Linked DNA regions of Macaca fascicularis. The protein of the gene in region 3 purifies or fractionates together with the protein of the main gene of each other region. This does not show direct contact. Links are inferred from orthologs where the notes say so. Each region holds a gene or a part of one and is shown on either strand. Other genes may lie near its edges.

Region 1 (4,507 bases), on a different chromosome or scaffold from region 3:
GCCTAGTGTCCACGTGGGTGGCCAGGCTGGGGCCAAGGTTGGGCAGCAGGTCTGGGCACAGCCTTTGCCCCACGGCCCAGGTCCACAGTGCTGTCTCCACTAGGTGGGGAGCACACAGACTCAGGCCCAGGGGCACGGGCCACCCCAGCCTGCCCACACACAGTTCGTTCACCTTGGCTCAGAGCTGTGGCCCACTCTTGAACCTGGCCCAGGTACAGCAGGTAGTACCTGAGGGTGTACTGTGGGGCCGGCAGGCCGGGCACTGTGACCACTGCCTCATCTGACATGAAGGCCTCCATCTCGAGCTCCAGGCACCAGGACTGCTGTGAGCAGCGAGGAGAAGCAGCCAGACACCCCATCAGGACAAGCTCTGGCTCCGACTCCTGGTCCTAGAGACACACAAGGGCCCAGACTGTCTGCTTCACAGACAAGGACGCTTATGTACCCAAGTCGTGCCCACCCAACTCACCTGAGGCTGTGACTGTGGTGGGTCCACACCGCAGAGGGCAGACAGCTGGGTGACCGCGGCCCCCACATCTGGCAGGAGGCAGAAGGTGGTGGTCGAACAGTGCACAGCCAGCTCAGGGGGATTGGTGGTCACCAGATGCTGTGAGAAGCCAGGTCAGGGTGCCCGGCGTGGTGGACCCACAGGGAGGCCCCGCCCCCACGAAGACCCGCTCTGGAGGCCCCGCCCCGCCGATGCCACGCCCCGATGAAGACCCGCCCTACGGAGGCCCCGCCCTCGAGGCGGGCCGCACCTCGCCGCCAGCTTCCAGGCCAGCAGCCGCTCCAGCTCCCTGTCACATGCTCTCCGCTCTGCCCCTGATGGCCGCTGGCAACTCCTCCCGATACCTGGGGAAGGGCGGTGAGGGGAGGTCCGGCCACAGGGTACGCTCGCCCACCGATCCCTTTATCCCCTTCCACTCTACCAACGGCCCAGGGCTTCCAGCCGCACTCGGGGGTCCGCGCGCACCCGTAGGACCTCTCGATGGCGCTCCGGAATGGCGGCCCAGCGACTGCGGTCCTTACACCCAACAGCGCGGGAAGCCACTATGTTCACGCGGAGGGGCGGGGCCGGCTGCCGGGGGCGGGGCCGGCTGCTGGGGGCGGGGCTTCTGCGTAGGGGCTGGCTGCTGGGGGCGGGGCCTCTGGGTGGGGCGGCCTGTTGGGGGCGGGGCGTCTGCCGATGGGGCGGGCTGCTGGGGGCGGGGCTGGCTGCCGGGGGAAGGGCCTCTGGATGGGGCCCGCTGCTTGGGGAGGGGTCTCTGCGCGTTGCGGCGGGGGCGGAACGCCAGGTGGTCGGGACAGGCTGTTGGGGGAGTGCGCCCTCAGCGAACCAAGGCATCTCACTGGGAAAGTCGAATGTGTGTGGCGGTCGCCGCCGAGGCCGGTTCCGAAGAGGCCTCAGCAGGGCGGGCCAGGGCCTCCGCGAACGCCGACCCTTAAGAGCGCCGAGCGAGGGAACCGGAGTGTTCCTCCCAGCCCCCGACGCCGCGGGCCTAGCGTCCCCGTCCAGGCTGATTGGGCGCACGCGCGGCCCCACTCGCCCCCACCCGTGCGTCCCCGCTGGTCCCGCCCCCGGCCGGAAGTTCCGGCGGTGGAGCTGGGCCGGGCCCGAGAGGATCGCGGGTTCGGGCTGCGGGGCTCGGGCTGCAGGCGCTGGGCCGCCAGGCGCGGAGCTTGGGAGCGCAGCCCAGGCCGTGCCGCGCGGCGCCATGAAGGGCAAGGAGGAGAAGGAGGGCGGCGCGCGGCTGGGCGCTGGCGGCGGAAGCCCCGAGAAGAGCCCGAGTGCGCAGGAGCTCAAGGAGCAGGGCAACCGTCTGTTCGTGGGCCGAAAGTACCCGGAGGCGGCGGCCTGCTACGGCCGCGCGATCGTGAGTGCGCTCGCGCGGGAAGGGCGGCGGCGGCGGCGGCGGCGGCGGCGGCGGCGCCGGGGAGGGCCGGGCCCGTGCCCGGCTGGCCCCACCGAGGGTCTGGTTCCTCTGCGGGGCATGTCCTGGGCTCCTAAAGCCCAGCCGTGGTTCCCGAGCCCAGCGCCGGGTGTCGGAGAACGAGGGTGGGATGCTGGATGGAGGCCGGCCGGGTCGGGGGGAGGGCAGGGGCCCTCGCCCCTTGAGGCTCCCAGGTCCAAAGCCTGGACTCTCCAAAGATTTGGAAAACTTTACAAAACCAAGTGGAGTCAAGCGGATAGGCTCAGCCAGTACTCCACTGTCTGCAGATCCTTGGATCCAGGGGCTTTGACGACTGAGAAGCCTAGTTTCTTGATTCTAGCCAGAGCGCAGAAGCTGGGACGGGCCGTGGGACAGAGGGGGCGCGCTGAGCCTACACCCTCATGCGGCTGGCCCGGCCTTGGTCCCTAGACCCGGAACCCGCTGGTGGCCGTATATTACACCAACCGTGCCCTGTGCTACCTGAAGATGCAGCAGCACGAGCAGGCCCTGGCCGACTGCCGGCGCGCCCTGGAACTGGACGGGCAGTCTGTGAAGGCGCACTTCTTCCTGGGGCAGTGCCAGCTGGAGATGGAGAGCTATGATGAGGCCATCGCCAATCTGCAGCGAGGTTGGCTGACAAGCTGCCCGGTTGTGGGGCCCCTGGGGCCAGGCGGGTGGACTGGCCAGAGAGTGACCTGAAGCCCCCGTTCCCCAGCTTACAGCCTGGCCAAGGAGCAGCGGCTGAACTTCGGGGACGACATCCCCAGCGCTCTTCGAATCGCGAAGAAGAAGCGCTGGAATAGCATCGAGGAGCGGCGCATCCACCAGGAGAGCGAGCTGCACTCCTACCTCTCCAGGCTCATTGCCGCGGAGCGTGAGAGGTGGGACCCTCACCCCAGGTCGCCCTGTCTTGGGGTAATTCTGAATCACCAACTACCAACATGAGCGTTTATTGAAGGTTTTACTGGCGAGCAGAAAACGTGGGGAAGAAGCATGAATGTTAGCCCTGAGGTTGGGGTGTGGTCAGACATCTGGCCAGGTCCATCTCTTACTGGCTCCTGGTCAACCCCCAGGGAGCTGGAAGAGTGCCAGCGGAACCACGAGGGTGATGAGGACGACAGCCACGTCCGGGCCCAGCAGGCCTGCATTGAGGCTAAGCATGTGAGGGTGCCCCCCTCCCACATGTGGGTCTGTGTGTGTGCACCTGGCGTGGGAGCATCCCCGCCTTGTGTTGGGTCTGTGCCCCATGGAGGAGGGAGGTGGGGTGTCCCGCACAAGTGCAGTGCTCAACTCTTCACAGGACAAGTACATGGCAGACATGGACGAGCTCTTCTCTCAGGTGGACGAGAAGAGGAAGGTGAGTGTCTGTCACTTGCTGCGGTGGGTGGCAGGTGCTGGAGCAGTGCCCCTTCCCAGCCTCTGATCGTGTGCCCCTGTGCCACAGAAGCGTGACATCCCCGACTACCTGTGTGGTAAGATCAGCTTTGAGCTGATGCGGGAGCCGTGCATCACGCCCAGTGGCATCACCTACGACCGCAAGGACATCGAGGAGCACCTGCAGGTGAGGCTGCGGCTGGGGGAGCAGGGCCAGCAGCATGGTCCTGGGCCCACTGACTGCCCTCTGCCCTTCTTGTCACTGCAGCGCGTGGGTCATTTTGACCCCGTGACCCGGAGCCCCCTGACCCAGGAACAGCTCATCCCCAACCTGGCCATGAAGGAAGTCATTGACGCATTCATCTCTGAGAATGGCTGGGTGGAGGACTACTGAGATGCCTTGCCCTGCCCAGCATCCTGGTCCAGGAGAGCCCTGGGCGGAAGCCCTCCACCCCTGTACATAGTTTGTGTTGCTGGCCACCCTGGCCCCTTCCAAGTTCAAGTTCTGCTGTTGGGCTCTGGACTATTCCCCCTCTCAGCATAGCTCTTGCTGGGCCATGATTGTCCCCCTTTGTGGGCTGGAAAAGCAGGTGAGGGTGGGCTGGGCTGAAGCCACTGCCGACACTGTCTGTGTAATAAAATCCATGAGCACGAGATGGGACGTGCTGGTGTGTGGCAGGCATGCCTGCCAGCTGCTTTGGCTAGCCGAGGAAGGTGGAGATGAAGACGCTGGTGTCAAGGTTGAGTGTGGCATGCCACCAGCGGTCAGGGAAGTACAGCACCTGGTGGAGAAAAGGGGTGCAGCACAGATTAGCTGGGGGCCTCTGGCCTGGCCTGGCCCTCTCCTGCCAGCCACTGACCTCACCAGCCCGGATGGTACACTCCAGGGGCCGTGCAGACGGTGGCAGGGCTGGATATGTGTCCCGGAGCCAGGCCAGCGTGGTCTTGTTGGGGTGGAACTCTGGTGTCTTCTCAGGTGGGTAGAGGAACCAGCGCTGGGGGCAGGAGCAGCAGCGTCACCCTTGCCTGTTTTGGTCACCGAGCCCCAAGGCTCAACCCCAACCCTGTGCTGACCTTACGGCCGTAGATCACCTCCGAGTACCCGGGCCCATGCCAGTGGAAGGGCACCCCCGAGCCAGCTCCTGTGGGGTTATGAGCACCTGGTGACCAAGCCATTTTGTACCCACCCTCAGAAGCCTCAC
Region 2 (4,500 bases), on a different chromosome or scaffold from region 3:
CGAGATGGGCGGATCACGAGGTCAGGAGATCGAGACCATCCTGGCTAACACGGTGAAACCCCGTCTCTACTAAGAAATACAAAAAATAGCCGGGCGAGGTGGCAGCGCCTGTAGTCCCAGCTACTCGGGAGGCTGAGGCCGGAGAATGGCGTGAACCCGGGAGGCGGAGCTTGCAGTGAGCTGAGATCCGGCCACTGCACTCCAGCCTGGGCTACAGAGCGAGACTCCGTCTCAAAAAAAAAAAAAAAAAAAAAAAAAGAACGGGGAATATTTATGAGGTTCTCACTGCATTCCAGGCACTGGAGACCCAATGCAGACAGGACCTGGCCCCTGCTCAGGTGGCGATCTCAGACTGGGAGGGAGGACACATTGAAAGCCAAGAAACAAAATAAATTTCTAATTTAGCAGCAAGTGCTCTTGAAAGGGCAGTAAAGTGAAAAAGGCGGGACTGAGAGGACCTCGGGAGGTGAGCTTTCGCCCAGATCCTCACCTCGCTTTAGGAAGGGAGAACAGAGGCAGTCTTCTGTCCCAACATCCTTCTCCCCACAGTTGGGAAAATAGCGCTGGTGGATTCTTTGTTTGTTCATTTTGTTTTATTTTACTTATTTATTTATTTTATTTTGAGACGGAGTCTCGCTCTGTCGCCCAAGCTGGAGTGCAGTGCCCCGATCTCGGCCCACTGCAACCTCCGCCTCCCCGATTCAAGCTATTCTCAGGCCTCAGCCTCCTGAGTAGCTGGGATTACAGGTGCGTGCCACCACGCCCGGGTAATTTTTGTATTTTTAGCAGAGACGGGATTTCACCATGTTGGCTAGGCTGGTCTCGAACTCCTGACCTCAAGTGATCCGCCCACTTCGGCCTCCCAAAATGCTGGGATTACAGGCGTGAGCCCCCGCGCCCGGCCTGTTTGTTTATTTTAAAAAGAAACGGAGTCTGCTTATGTTGCCTAGGCTGGTCTCAAACTCCTAGGCCCGAGAGATTCTCCTGTCTTGGCCTCAGGAAGTGATGGAAATTACAGTCGTGAGGCTCCGTGTCAGGTTCTCTTATTGCCATATTGTAGAAAGAAAGAGACCCCTGGGTTAAGCAGACGCGGGTTAGGTTGTTCGTCCGGCGTCACCCGGCGGAGGCCCACCGCAGGTCCCGCGAGACAAGGGCTGGAAGGTTTATCACCTCCTGGGGAAAAGACAGGCTAGTCCCAGGCCCCACCCCTTCCCGGAACATCACCTTCGCGACGGCTCCTGACCCACTGACCCAGGCGGAGGGCGGGACGCAGGGTCGCTGGGGCGGTGCAGAGTGTGAAAGAAGCTCGCGATTGGCTCGTCCCGGAAGGTGGGCGGGGCCTCCTCCGACCTGTGCGCGCGCCGCCGGGAGGCGTTGTCGAGGGCGGAGCGGGAGGGGGCGTGGCCCCGCGCCGGCGGCCGTTGACGGCAAAGCGCCGCCCCGGATGTCGCGTGTCACGGAAAGGGTGGCGGCGATTGGCCGGCGCCGCGGGCGGGGGGGCGGGGCGGAAGGTTCTGGAGGGGGCTGGCGGGCTCTGGAAGCTTCCGCCGGACGGGTATATAGAGTCCGGGACCGGGCGGCGGCGTAGCCGGGGGACGGCGACAGCGGGTCGGCGGGCCGCAGCGGGGGGCCATGGGCAAAGACTACTATCAGACGCTGGGCCTGGCCCGCGGCGCGTCGGATGAGGAGATCAAGCGGGCCTACCGCCGCCAGGCGCTGCGCTACCACCCGGACAAGAACAAGGAGCCCGGCGCCGAGGAGAAGTTCAAGGAGATCGCCGAGGCCTACGACGTGCTCAGCGACCCGCGCAAGCGCGAGATCTTCGACCGCTACGGAGAGGAAGGTGTGTGCGCGCGGCCAGGGGCGCGGTCCCGCCGTTTGACAGGGAAACCGAGGCATACCGGCCCCTCTCGGCGGCCCCCCGGGAAGGACGCCCCGGGCCCGGGGGCCGAGCTGCCCCGCCCTCCGGCCGCTCGGGCCTCCGCCCTTGGATTGGCGGCCGTGCGGTGCGGGGAGGAGCCTTGGCCCAGCCGCTCGCCCAGAAGCTTCTAGCATGTCTAGGGCTGCCCCTCCCCGGGCGCCTCTTCCCGCGGCCCCGAGCAGCCCCGGGGTGCGGTGCAGGGGGGTGGGGGAGCCGGGGGTGACGACGGGAACGGCACGGCGGAGCCTGCTGCGGACCCGAGCTCACCTGGGCTTAGCCGCCGGGGTCCGCAGGGCGGCGCCTGCGGCTCAGCTGCGGGGCGCGGGGCTGTAAATGCAGGCGCCGATCCCGCTCGCGGGCCTTGGGGCTGGGCTGGGATGATTTCCGGGAAGTGATGACCTGGTCCCGGCCGAGCACGCAGGAGGCAGCGGCCGCCTAGGTGCGGAGAGCTGGGCCGCCTGGGGGTTTGGGGGGACGGAGAGTGGGGCTTTTTGTCCCTGTGCCCCTTGATGACTCAGGCTGGCTTCTGGGCTTGATCTGGGACTGACTTATTATGCAAGGATGGTGGCAGTGAATGCTAGTGTGAGGGTTTAAAAACTCTACATCTTTTTTTTTTCCTTATTTTCACTTTTCGTACACATCAGTAGTCCTAAAATGTTGAAAGTAAATACCGAAAGCCGACCCTGGACCGTGTGTGTTTAGCCATCCCTTGGTGACATTGCCAGGAGGATGGGTCAGTCCAGGAGTGGCAGGGCCCAGGTGGCACCTGTAGGTGGACACCTAACCGCATGAGTCCTTTTCCATTGTCAGGCTATGCGGAAGTACTTGGGGGGGGGGGCAGCTCTGCTGCTGCAGTGAGGGGTAGAAGCTTGGGGTTCTTCCTTGCTCTCCCCTGGCAGGCTAAAAAAAGTTCCTCCCCCATGGCCTCCAAGCTTTTTTCCCCCGTAAGGGAAGCTCGAGAGGGAGTCTGCTGTTCAGCCATCTGACTGCTTCTAATTCTGCTTTTCAGGCCTAAAGGGCAGTGGCCCCAGTGGCGGTAGCGGCAGTGGTGCCAATGGTACCTCTTTCAGCTACACGTTCCATGGAGACCCTCATGCCATGTTTGCTGAGTTCTTCGGTGGCAGAAATCCCTTTGACACCTTTTTTGGGCAGCGGAACGGGGAGGAAGGCATGGACATTGATGACCCGTTCTCTGGCTTCCCTATGGGCATGGGTGGCTTCACCAACGTGAACTTTGGCCGCTCCCGCCCTTCCCAAGAGCCCACCCGAAAGAAGCAAGATCCCCCAGTCACCCACGACCTTCGAGTCTCCCTTGAAGAGATCTACAGCGGTTGTACCAAGAAGATGAAAATCTCCCACAAGCGGCTAAACCCCGACGGAAAGAGCATTCGAAACGAAGACAAAATCTTGACCATCGAAGTGAAGAAGGGGTGGAAAGAAGGGACCAAAATCACCTTCCCCAAGGAAGGAGACCAGACCTCCAACAACATTCCAGCTGATATCGTCTTTGTTTTAAAGGACAAGCCACACAATATCTTTAAGAGAGATGGCTCTGATGTGATTTATCCTGCCAGGATCAGCCTCCGGGAGGTAAGGTGCCAGGTGGGGCGGTGTCTGCAGAGCGCGATGGCTGCTCTTTGAAGCAGTTTATTTAGGTTTTGCTGAACACGCATTGGGTGTGTGGCGCTTGCCAGGCTTGGGGCACCACAGTGAACAGGACTGATCAGGGTGCTGTTCTGGAGCTTTCATGGTGGAGACATGTCGATTTGGGGGCCAGGTGTTGGCTGCAGAGGCCTGATGAGTCTTACTCTATGCCAGATGGTCTCCGGGCAAGAGCTGAGCCTCTTGAGCCAGCTTCCATCTAATGCTTATCCCTTTGCTTTTCAAGGCTCTGTGTGGCTGCACAGTGAACGTCCCCACTCTGGACGGCAGGACCATACCCGTCGTATTCAAAGATGTCATCAGGCCTGGCATGCGCCGAAAAGTTCCTGGAGAAGGCCTCCCCCTCCCCAAAACGCCCGAGAAACGTGGGGACCTCATTATTGAATTTGAAGTGATCTTCCCCGAAAGGATTCCCCAGACATCAAGAACCGTACTTGAGCAGGTCCTTCCAATATAGCTGCCAGAGCTCCGACTGACCAGGGACCTTTCCAGAGCTCAAGGATTTCTGGACCTTTCTACCAATTGTGGACCATGGGAGGGCCCAGGGAGGACTTTCATACTGCTGAATGTTTTCCAGAGCATATATTACAATCTTTCAAAGTCGTACACTAGACTAAAGTGGTTTTTCGAGCGATAGGGCATCAGGTGGTGGGAACAGCAGGAAAAGGCATTCCAGTCTGCCCCACTGGGTCCGGCAGCCCTCCCGGGATGGGCCCACATCCTCCTCCTCCAGTCCCTGTCCAGGGGTAGAGGCAGACCAGCAGCTGGACTTGATCCCTCTGTGTCCCTTTGCTTTTGACTGGTAGATAATGTCGACCTGCTGTCTTGGTTCCCAGACCCTGTACACTCCTCTGTTTTCTGTTGTGTGATCAGTTCGTGGTTTATTCTGTATTTGTCTCCCATGTCTTGCTCTTCCC
Region 3 (4,755 bases):
CCAGTATTTTCAAAGACTTAGAGGAGATTTTTGTAAAGTGGCAATACATTATTTTAAAAAGGCTCATACTGTAAGGATGTGCTCTTTGATTTTAAAGTCTTTAAAGGCTGGAACTTTTTTTTTTTTTTTTTTTTTTTTTTGAGACGGAGTCTTGCTCTGTCACCCAGGCTGGAGTGCAGTGGCACGATCTCTGCTGACTGCAACATCCACCTCCCGGGTTCAAGCGATTCTGCTGCCCCAGCCTCCCGAATAGCTGGGATTACAGGCGCCCACCACCACACCCGGCTAATTTTTGTATTTTTAGTAGACACGGGGTTTCAGCATCTTGACCAGGCTGGTCTCAAACTCCTGACCTCGTGATCAACCTGCCTCGGCCTCCCAAAGTGCTGGGATTACAGGCGTGAGTCACTGTGTCCGGCCTTTAAAAATTTTTTTTAGGCAGGGTCTTGTTCCATAGATCAGGCAATGGTATGATCATGGTTCATTGCAGCCTCCACCTCCTGGGCTCAGGATATCCTTTCATCTTAGCTTCCTGAGCAGCTGGGCCTACAGGCGGGAGCCACCAGGCCCGGCTAACTTTTTGTATTTTTTTTTTTTCGTAGAGGCTGGAGTCTCACCATGTTGCCCAGGCTGGTCTTGAACTCCTGGGCTCAAAGCAATCCACCAGCCTGGTCTCCTAAAGTGCTCGAATTATGGACGAGAGCCGCTGCGTCCGACCAAACTGGGACTATCTTGTTTCCTTTTTACACCCTTCCTAAGTAGTGGGGAAGGGTGTAAACCTCCCTAGGAGGATGTAAGGTAGACTATGATTGCGCACACTTGGTAACCATACTTGCAGTGATCTTTGTGATTTATTGAATCATACCTAGGATGTACATATTAATTCATATTTGTGCTGAGCATATTCATTTATCAACTAAGAGACTACAGGAAAAAGCCATTGTTGTAATGATGAAAATGTCAACACTTTATCAGGTTCTGAACCCAAAGAGACTTTTGCTTATTATGTAAGAAGCACACCTGTGGCTCTAGGCCTTTGGAAGAAAATAAAAGAGAAAAGCAATCCGTGTACTTTTCCCCCCACCCCCGCCTTATGGTCAGGCTACAAAATTCTGGGTTTTCCCAGCTTCTTTTGGTCATGCTTTGTGGGGGCTACACTGGAGCTTTTACGTAGACTGTTCATTTTGTTCCTCAGCCTGAATTCTCTCTCGTTTTCTTTCTCTACGATTTTTAATTCCCCTCACTGTTCTGTTAGGAAACCAAAGGTCAAATGAGGTTAAGTAATTTGCTCAATTGGGATAAAGAGTGTTGGGAGTCCATAAAACAGTCGTGGGGCTATAGACAACAAGTGTTATTGCGCTATGATTTGATCTTCAACACATTCACGAGAAACTACAGTTCTCTAAACAACCTTAACTGCCGGCGACCCACAGAAAATGGCAGAAGCGCAGGCTCTTTTTTACCCTGTGGCTTATGATCTGGGCTTGTTTATTTATGCCTCGGACAGGAGCCGGACCTTGAGTAGGAGTTGAGCTGCTTTTCGGCGCTCGGCTGCGGTTCCTTGAACGATTGCTTGGGCGTTCCTCCTTTGATGTCTGGGGCGTTCTTGTATTCGGTGATCTTTTGCGCCGTCTTCTTGCTTGATGTCTCCTGAGCGGCGGCGGCGCCGGGTTGAGGACTGAGTTATCCGCGAGGCCCCGCGCTCAAGCCGCCTTCTCCTGCCGGTCGGTAGAACGGACCCTTTGCTTTATTCGTGCCTCCTCCTTCTTTTTCCCTGTGGCTCAGCTTGTCCGCTGGACTGCAAACCGAGCTCCCGTCTGTCTTGCAGGTAGGCCCAGGAGGAGCCTGGGAGGCCCAGCCCGGCATCCTTCCGCCGCGGGGTTGAGAAGACCTTGGCGCCGGCGGGTGGGCAGGCGGGCCGGCCGCCGTGACACTGCCAGAGGAGGGGCTACCGGACTGCGTTGAGGGGCGCGGCCGGAGGGGCAGCCCGGAACCGAGGGAGAAGCCGGAAGGAGGGAGAGATGCTGGGGCTTCCCGGTGTGGTTCTTTTGGGAGGAGATGTTGGGTCTAGGGCACCCCCAGTGTGTGGGGAAAATGGCTTTCCAGGAACCGACAGAGCTTTGCGCACTTTGACCTTCCTTCCTTTATCCTTTCCCCCCACCCCGAAGTCTCCGGGTGTCATGCCTCAGTTGAACTGGGGACCCCTACTGAGTCCAGCGTTTGAAGGGACCTTTGAGTAGGTGGAGGCGTATGGAACAAGGTCCTCTGGCTCCTCGGAGCGAAGTGTCATGTTCTCGCCTTTTTTGGGTGGGGAAACTGAGGCTGATGTCTGGGACGTGACTTCCCCCCATATCCCCAACAGATCATTAAATGCACTGTAAGTCACTTTTTGTCATTTACCAGTTCCCTTTCCCCCAGTTACCAGTCAAATTATGAAAACAGTGAGTTGTTGTTTGATCGCCTGTGATCCCTCTTTTCCTAGGAATATAGACTGTTAGGAATACAAATCGTGTCACTAGAGGCTTCAGAAGTAAAGGAACCATGTGGTTTCTTGGCTGTTTAGCTTTTCAAAGTCTGTATCATTTTAGCTAGTGTAGCAATGACAGTTTCTTTTTGTTTCTTGATAACCTTGTTGCCTACTTTGTTTCCTGATAACCTTGTTGTCTACATTGTTTCCTGGTTGGTTTATCCTCCTTCTCCCCAGCCTCTTTGGAAATCTTAACAACTATGGTGTTTGTGGTTAGTCTAGTAGAGGATGGTCAAGACTTTGAAGGCAAACGCTTGTCCTGTATGAGGGTCTGCTTTCTGGGGAGTATCCAAAGGAAACCCAAGGAGTCTCTCTCTCTCTCTCTTTTTTTTTTTAAGACAGTCTCGCTCTGTCGCCCAAACTGGAGTGCAGTGGCGCAATCTTGGCTTACTGCAACCTCTGCCTCCCGGGTTCAAGCGATTCCCCTGCCTCTGTCTCCTGACTAGCTGGAACTACAGGCGCGCGCCACCACACTCGGCTAATTTTTGTATTTGTAGTAAAGTGGGGTTTCATCACGTTGGCCAGGCTGGTCTTGAACTCCTGGGTTCAAGTGATTCGCTCACCTCGGCCTCTCAAAGTGCTGGAATTACAGGCATGAGCCACCGCGCCCGCCCAGTTTTGTTATATTTGATTACTAGTTTGGTCACTGCACATACAAAAGCTAAAAAAGGCTGTATGTAGAAATCATTCAAATATTGAGATATTTAAATGAAACTCCTTTGTGGTTCTCTTTTCCTTCCCAACTTGGAAAGGTTGGGGACTAAGTCTCTCATTTTCATCGGATTCAGTGTCATGATCCTAATTTGTGTCACTTCTTTGTTGGGGGAAAAAAAATATCAGCCTGCCGGGTGCAGTGGCTCACACCTGTAATCCCAGCATTTTGGGAGGGCAAGGCGGGTGGATCACCTGAGGTTGGGAGTTCGAGACCAGCCTGACCAATGTGGAGAAACCTAAAAATACAAAATTAGCCGGGCGTGGTGGTGCATGCCTGTAATCCCAGCTACTCGGGAGGGTAAGGCAGGAGAATCACTTGAATCCAGGAGGCAGAAGTTGCCATGAGCGAGATCACATCATTGCACTCCAGCCTGGGCAACAAGAGCCAAACTCTGTATCAAAAAAAAAAAAAAAAAAAAAAAAAAAAAAAAAAAAATCAGTCTTGAGGTCATTCTGGGTTGGATAAGTTTCCAAAGTATGTAGAATCAGTAGGAGGGTGTTTTTTGTTTGTTTGTTTGTTTGTTTGTTTTGAGACAGAGTCTTGCTTTGCCCCCCGGGCTGGAGTGCAGTGGCGCTATCTCAGCTCACTACGACCTCCTCCGCCTCCCAGGTTCAAGCAGTTCTCTGCCTCAGCATCCCGAGTAGCTGGGATTACAGGCACCACCACCACACCTGGCTAATTTTTTGTATTTTTAGTAGAGATGGGGTTTCACCATCTTGGCCAGGCTGGTCTTGAACCCCTGACCTCGTGATCCACCTGCTTTGGCCTCCCAAAGTGCTGGGATTACAGGCATGAGCCACCGCGCCCGGCCAAGAGAGTGGTTTTAAGGGTATAGAGATTCAGTTCCTAGTCCTTGAGTGGAGACTGTACAAGGCTACATTCTCCCACTATTTTAGTATTCTTGTATAAGTTTTGGAAAGATTACTGTTCCTTTAATTTTTTGTGTGAGGTCAGCAAGATTTAAATGAATGGCCCTTAATCATGAGCAATTTCCTAGTTACACGACCTCAGTGCTCCCAGAAAGGGATTAATGAAGAGCCACCAGACTATCTTTATGGAGAATCTAGATTGGGGATAAGCTAAGAATGTGCATTTTTGAAAAAGTTTTTATGGTAGAAGAGAATGTATATCAGATAAAAGAATGTAGAGAAGAAAGCAACATTGTCCACTGGGAATTGATAAGTTCTGTGTAGAATTTAGAGTTATAAAGAATATCTCATTGACTCCTAATGAATGCTAAATAACAAATGGAAATTGCTGTGAGTGTCTTGAAGCAATCTTAGGAATATTTTATTATGTTTCTGCAGGAAATAATTGGCAGAGGCTTAAGGTGAATTGAGGTCAAGAAATTTGGTGGTGTTGATGGGAGGTTACAGGGATAGAGCTTATCAACTTAATCAACTTATCCCATGCTTTGTGATAGAAGTTCACTCAGCTTTTTTTCTTTTTCTTTTTTTTTTTTTTTTTTTTTTTGAGATGGAGTCTTGCTCTGTCGCCCAGGTTGGAGTGCAGT
Region 4 (4,687 bases), on a different chromosome or scaffold from region 3:
AGAATCTTGCACTTTATAGCCCTTATACAAACTGTTTTAATTGCCTGGTGGTTTTCTGTTACATGAATTGTAAGCTCTCTTAAAGTAGAAACTTTTCACAAATCCGTATGACACAATTTATTTTTATGTATTTATTTGAGACAGGTTCTCGCTCTGTTACCCAGGCTCAAGTGCAGTGGCATGATCTTGGCTCACTGCAACCTCCGCCTCCCCGGTTCAAGCAATTCTTGTGTCTCAGCATCCCAAGTAGCTGGGATTACAGGTGTGTGCACACCCGCTAATTTTTGTATTTTTAGTGGAAACAGGGTTTCACCATGTGGGCCAGGCTGGAATCGAACTCCAGGCTTCAAGTGATCGACCCACCTCGGCCTCCCAGAGTGCTGGGATTACAGGCGTGAGCCACCACACCCGGCTAGTCACATGGCTTTCTCTTAGCCCCATCACGTCCTGCTTTTTCAGATTGCTGGGTTTAACTTCCCAGCTCCCTCTTACTAGGTCTGTCACATTAAGCAGGTAACTTAGGTGACTCTGTTTCTGTAAAATGGGAATGTTAGGATAATACATAATACACAGGATAATACATAATAATGTGGGATAATACGTGAAAAACCTTTAGCATAGTACCCAGAACATAACACTCAATAAATGTTAGCTGTTATGTCTGTGATGTAGACCATATTCTCACAACTTTTTATAGAGTTCAAAAACAAGCTTGGAGATGAGAAGTTGCCCAAGGTCACATAACTGATGGAACACCTATTGTTCACCGTATTGCTGTTTTCCTACTTGACGGTAGGGAGCATGTTATTGCAGATCTCCTGTTCCCAAACAGTGTGTGGCACCGAATGCTCAATGTTTCATGAGATCATATGGTCAAAGATCTGGAAAAATCTGAATAAACTGAACCTGGAAAAAGAGACGGGGGAGAAGGAAAGTGTCAGGAAAGTTGACTTAAAATATTTTTGGAGTTGTGTAGAAGAGGGAGGGACTTAGGATGGCTCTGGGAGAAAGAACTGGAACCAGGGACTGAGATGACAGGAGGCGGACATTTAGGCTGTCTATATTACTTTTTTTTTTTTTTTTTTTTGAGACAAAGTCTTGCTCTGTCATCCAGGCTGGAGTGTAGTGGCGCGATCTCGGGTCGCTACAACCTCCTCCTTCCATTCAATTGATTCTCCAGCCTCAGCCTCTCAAGTAGCTGGGATTACAGGTGCCTGCCACCACGCCTGGATAATTTTTGTATTTTTATAGAGACGCGGTTTCACCAGTTGGCCAGGCTGGTCTCAAACGCCTGACCTCAGGTGATCCGCCCACCTCGGCCTCCTAACATGCTGAGATTACAGGCGTAAGCCACCTTGTCCGGCCATATTATCTTTACTATACTATCTTTCTAAAAAAGAATGCTGTCCAACGTTGAAAGGTGAAAGAAGGTGTACACTGGGAATGCTTCCCCAATCACCCTCTTGTCACAGACCTGAGGTCAAGATGAGACTGGACGACCTCTGAACCTCGAAGTTGTATGGGGACCGGACCAGGGAGGCAGAGGAGGGTAAAGAGACCCGAGAGGCCGTACTGTCAGTGATGCCCTTGTTCCCGTGGGAGCCCTTCGGTTCCACGCAGTTCCCACCACGCGCCCGCCAATCCCAGCCCGAAGCCTCACTTAGCAGGCCTTCCCCGAAAGCGGGAAGCCTTGGCCGCTAGACTAGCCAAGCTGGCAAGCAAAGGCGGGGGAAACTCAGCCGGGCCGGAAACACAGAGAACTGCTTCCGGGTCAGGGGGAAGGAGCCACCATGGAGCTTCGCGGGGTTGCTGGGCTGACGGTTCCGCGGGCCGGCATCTGAAGCGAGCGGGACGCAGCGCGGCTAGCGCCTCCGGCCATACGCAGGCCGGTCCCGAAGGCCCGCGGTCGCCGCCATGTCGGTGCTGGGCGAGTACGAACGACACTGCGATTCCATCAACTCGGACTTTGGGAGCGAGTCCGGGGGTTGCGGGGACTCGAGTCCGGGGCCTAGCGCTAGTCAGGGGCCGCGAGCCGGCGGCGGCGCGGCGGAGCAGGAGGAGCTGCACTACATCCCTATCCGCGTCCTGGGCCGCGGCGCCTTCGGGGAAGCCACGCTGTACCGCCGCACCGAGGTAGCGGCCCTCGGCACCTGCCGTCCTGTCTGGCGCTGTCGGGTCGCCCCGAGTCCTTTCTTCCCGGCCCCGCTTTCTCAGCGTCGTGAGCTTAGTGCTTTAGGCGCCCACAGGATATATGTGTCAGGGTCTTCACCGCTCTTCCCACTCATCGGCACTAGAAATTGGCAAGATCATTGGTTTGACTAGTCATTTTTGATTGGCCTAAGTCACCTAACCGTCTCTGAGCTTTAGCATCCCCATCTGTAAAATGGGCTTACTGATAATACCTTGAAATCATCCTTTTTTTTTTTTAAGATTATCTTGAGAATGAAACGAAGGCGCTTGTTCTGTAAATTAAAGTGGTATACGAATGTGAGGTATTGCCAAAACTTCCTTCCCCTCATGCTGTATATATAGTTCTCCAAGGTCGGGGTGAGGAGGACGGGCATAGCTTCAAAATCCCCACACCGGTGGCACCTCCGTAGTTTGTGTCATTATCTTTAAGTTCAGCTGTGATCACTCAGTTGGAAGCTTTTCTTGAAGCTCATTGGGAAGATCTTTGTGTGTTGGTTCTTTATCAGTGTTTATCCTACAGGGTTTATGCATGGGAAGTACTCTGTTGGTATATTCTAAGCCATTAGTTCTTAATTTGGGGGGCACAAGGACCCCTTTGAGAACCTAACATAAGCAAAGTAATCTTACCCCCTCCATCAACACATTTGCACATAGGCACATCCTTTGGAGAGATCCATGGATCACGGAATCCCAAGTTAAGAATATATACTAGTGTAAAACCCTGCAGTGATGATTCTACTTCCAAAAACTAACGATATACTGGTTTTGATCATAAAATCTTACTTTAGGGTAAACATTTAATGAGAACTTGCTGGGGTTGCCGAAAGTGATCCATCCATCTGCAGTTCTGGTGTGTGTTCCAAGCCAGCATACTTTTAAGGCTGAAAGATGGAGAAGGAGAGAAGTGGTTGCAAGAAAATATTTTTAAGTGTTCTTTTTTATCCTGAAGCCACGTTAATGTATGATGTTAGGGTTATTCTTAGTAGTCTGTTTTCTTTTTTGCACTCAAATGAGAAAGAGGAGATAAGGATTGTTATTTCTATATTTTAGTTAGAGAAACTAAGACAGTATACTTAAGTCACTTGCTCACTTAAGTTATAAGTAAATCTTGGACTAGAACTAAAGTCTCACATCTTGCCCATTGCCTTTTTATTATTATCCTGTTGAACTTGATTACTGGATTTGTTTTGAGTTAAATTTGATTACACTTCTCAAAAATTGCATAGCGTTATCCATATCACCAAATATTTATTAGGTCTGTGAATTTACAGAAGTTCAGAAGCACTCTTTTCCTCTAGAAGCTTATATTTCAATAGGAAAAGTTGGCCATTGTTAGTAAACACATAGCATTAAGTTGTATATGTAGAGATATGAAAAGAATGGACAAATATTTCAGTGTATGGGGTCTAAAAATTAAAGGCATGGTTACAGTAAAAGGTTCATCAGAGTCTTTTCAAAAACATTGTAAAGGCTTGGCAGAGGCATTCAAAAGGATGGGGAGGGTTACATTGGTGGAGATGCTCCTGGGCTGGGAAGCAGTGTCAGCAAAAAATGAGGCCAGGCACAGTGGCTCATGCCTGTAATCCCAACACCTGGGAGGCCAAGGTGGTCAGGTCGCTTGAGGCCAGGAGTTCTAGACCAGCCTGGGCAACACAGTGATACTCCATCTCTTAAAAAAAAAAAAAAAAAAAAAAAAAATTTAGCTGAGTGTGGCAGTGCAATGCCTGTAGTCCTAACTACTGGGGAAGCTGAGGTAGGAGGATTGCTTCAGCCCAGGAGTTCAGAGCAGAAATGAGCTATGACTGCACTCTATCTCAAAAAAAAAAAAAGATGGTAGACATCAGGAGCTACAGGTAAGTTTTCAGGAATGGAAGAAAATGTGATACATAAAAGTGTGAGAGATTATAGAGTTGCAAAAGGGGGCATGACTTATCCAGAAAGGGTAAGTCTAAATTTATAAAACTAGGGAAGTCTAAATTTATAAAACTAGAGGCAAGTTTAGTATTTTCATTTTAGAAGCTGTGACCAACTATAGATAATTGCTCCCCAGTTCTCTACCTCTCAAGTATTCTTGCCCTGCCATAATCACCATCATGATTAGCAGTCTGTCATAGTATCCTCAATAGAATCTTTTTGAGACCTATGCCCAGCCCATATTTTTACCTGGAACTGACATCATGCAAATTGAGTGTGACGACGACGTCGTAATGCTTTACTTCCCCTGTCCTGTGATAAATTATAATGCTAAATTGTACACATAACCTTTGAAGTCTGTTAAAAGGAAAAAATAAGAGGAGTCAGTCTCTGCTCCTCTTAGGTAGTTTTGCTTCTAGGCTTACAAATCTAGGTGTGGATTCATTTGCTGCCAGGCAAGAGGAAAAGCACGATACCTCTGTTACTGTGTTTAGGATGACTCACTGGTTGTGTGGAAGGAAGTTGATTTGACCCGGCTGTCTGAGAAGGAACGTCGTGATGCCTTGAATGAGATTGTTATTCT

Evidence for each region. Proteins that work in one complex are often made in the same cells at the same time.
Region 1: the proteins of AMBRA1 (region 3) and STUB1 purify together in Homo sapiens (affinity purification with mass spectrometry, with the first as the bait; 3 studies listed by BioGRID). This does not show direct contact. The link is inferred for Macaca fascicularis from reciprocal best matches to the Homo sapiens genes AMBRA1 and STUB1.
Region 2: the proteins of AMBRA1 (region 3) and DNAJB1 purify together in Homo sapiens (affinity purification with mass spectrometry, with the first as the bait; 3 studies listed by BioGRID). This does not show direct contact. The link is inferred for Macaca fascicularis from reciprocal best matches to the Homo sapiens genes AMBRA1 and DNAJB1.
Region 4: the proteins of AMBRA1 (region 3) and NEK9 purify together in Homo sapiens (affinity purification with mass spectrometry; 3 studies listed by BioGRID and IntAct, with this or other methods). This does not show direct contact. The link is inferred for Macaca fascicularis from reciprocal best matches to the Homo sapiens genes AMBRA1 and NEK9.

Annotation. Positions count from the first base shown.
Region 1 is NC_088394.1:1,434,156-1,438,662, forward strand, and holds STUB1 (E3 ubiquitin-protein ligase CHIP), read left to right. Parts: upstream 1-1,593; 5' UTR 1,594-1,715; coding exon 1,716-1,874; intron 1,875-2,218; exon of another isoform or gene 2,219-2,360; coding exon 2,361-2,559; intron 2,560-2,646; coding exon 2,647-2,812; intron 2,813-2,865; exon of another isoform or gene 2,866-3,004; coding exon 3,005-3,092; exon of another isoform or gene 3,093-3,231; coding exon 3,232-3,288; exon of another isoform or gene 3,289-3,375; coding exon 3,376-3,699; 3' UTR 3,700-3,959; downstream 3,960-4,507. UniProt on the Homo sapiens protein: E3 ubiquitin-protein ligase which targets misfolded chaperone substrates towards proteasomal degradation.
Region 2 is NC_088393.1:14,953,248-14,957,747, reverse strand, and holds the start of DNAJB1 (dnaJ homolog subfamily B member 1), read left to right. Parts: upstream 1-1,586; 5' UTR 1,587-1,632; coding exon 1,633-1,843; exon of another isoform or gene 1,844-2,360; intron 2,361-2,930; coding exon 2,931-3,511; intron 3,512-3,809; coding exon 3,810-4,040; 3' UTR 4,041-4,500. UniProt on the Homo sapiens protein: Interacts with HSP70 and can stimulate its ATPase activity. Stimulates the association between HSC70 and HIP. Negatively regulates heat shock-induced HSF1 transcriptional activity during the attenuation and recovery phase period of the heat shock response.
Region 3 is NC_088388.1:19,259,259-19,264,013, forward strand, and holds the start of AMBRA1 (activating molecule in BECN1-regulated autophagy protein 1), read left to right. Parts: upstream 1-1,638; 5' UTR 1,639-1,724; exon of another isoform or gene 1,725-1,828; intron 1,829-1,883; exon of another isoform or gene 1,884-2,037; intron 2,038-4,755. UniProt on the Homo sapiens protein: Substrate-recognition component of a DCX (DDB1-CUL4-X-box) E3 ubiquitin-protein ligase complex involved in cell cycle control and autophagy.
Region 4 is NC_088381.1:143,074,083-143,078,769, reverse strand, and holds the start of NEK9 (serine/threonine-protein kinase Nek9), read left to right. Parts: upstream 1-1,773; 5' UTR 1,774-1,914; coding exon 1,915-2,133; exon of another isoform or gene 2,134-3,071; intron 3,072-4,598; coding exon 4,599-4,687.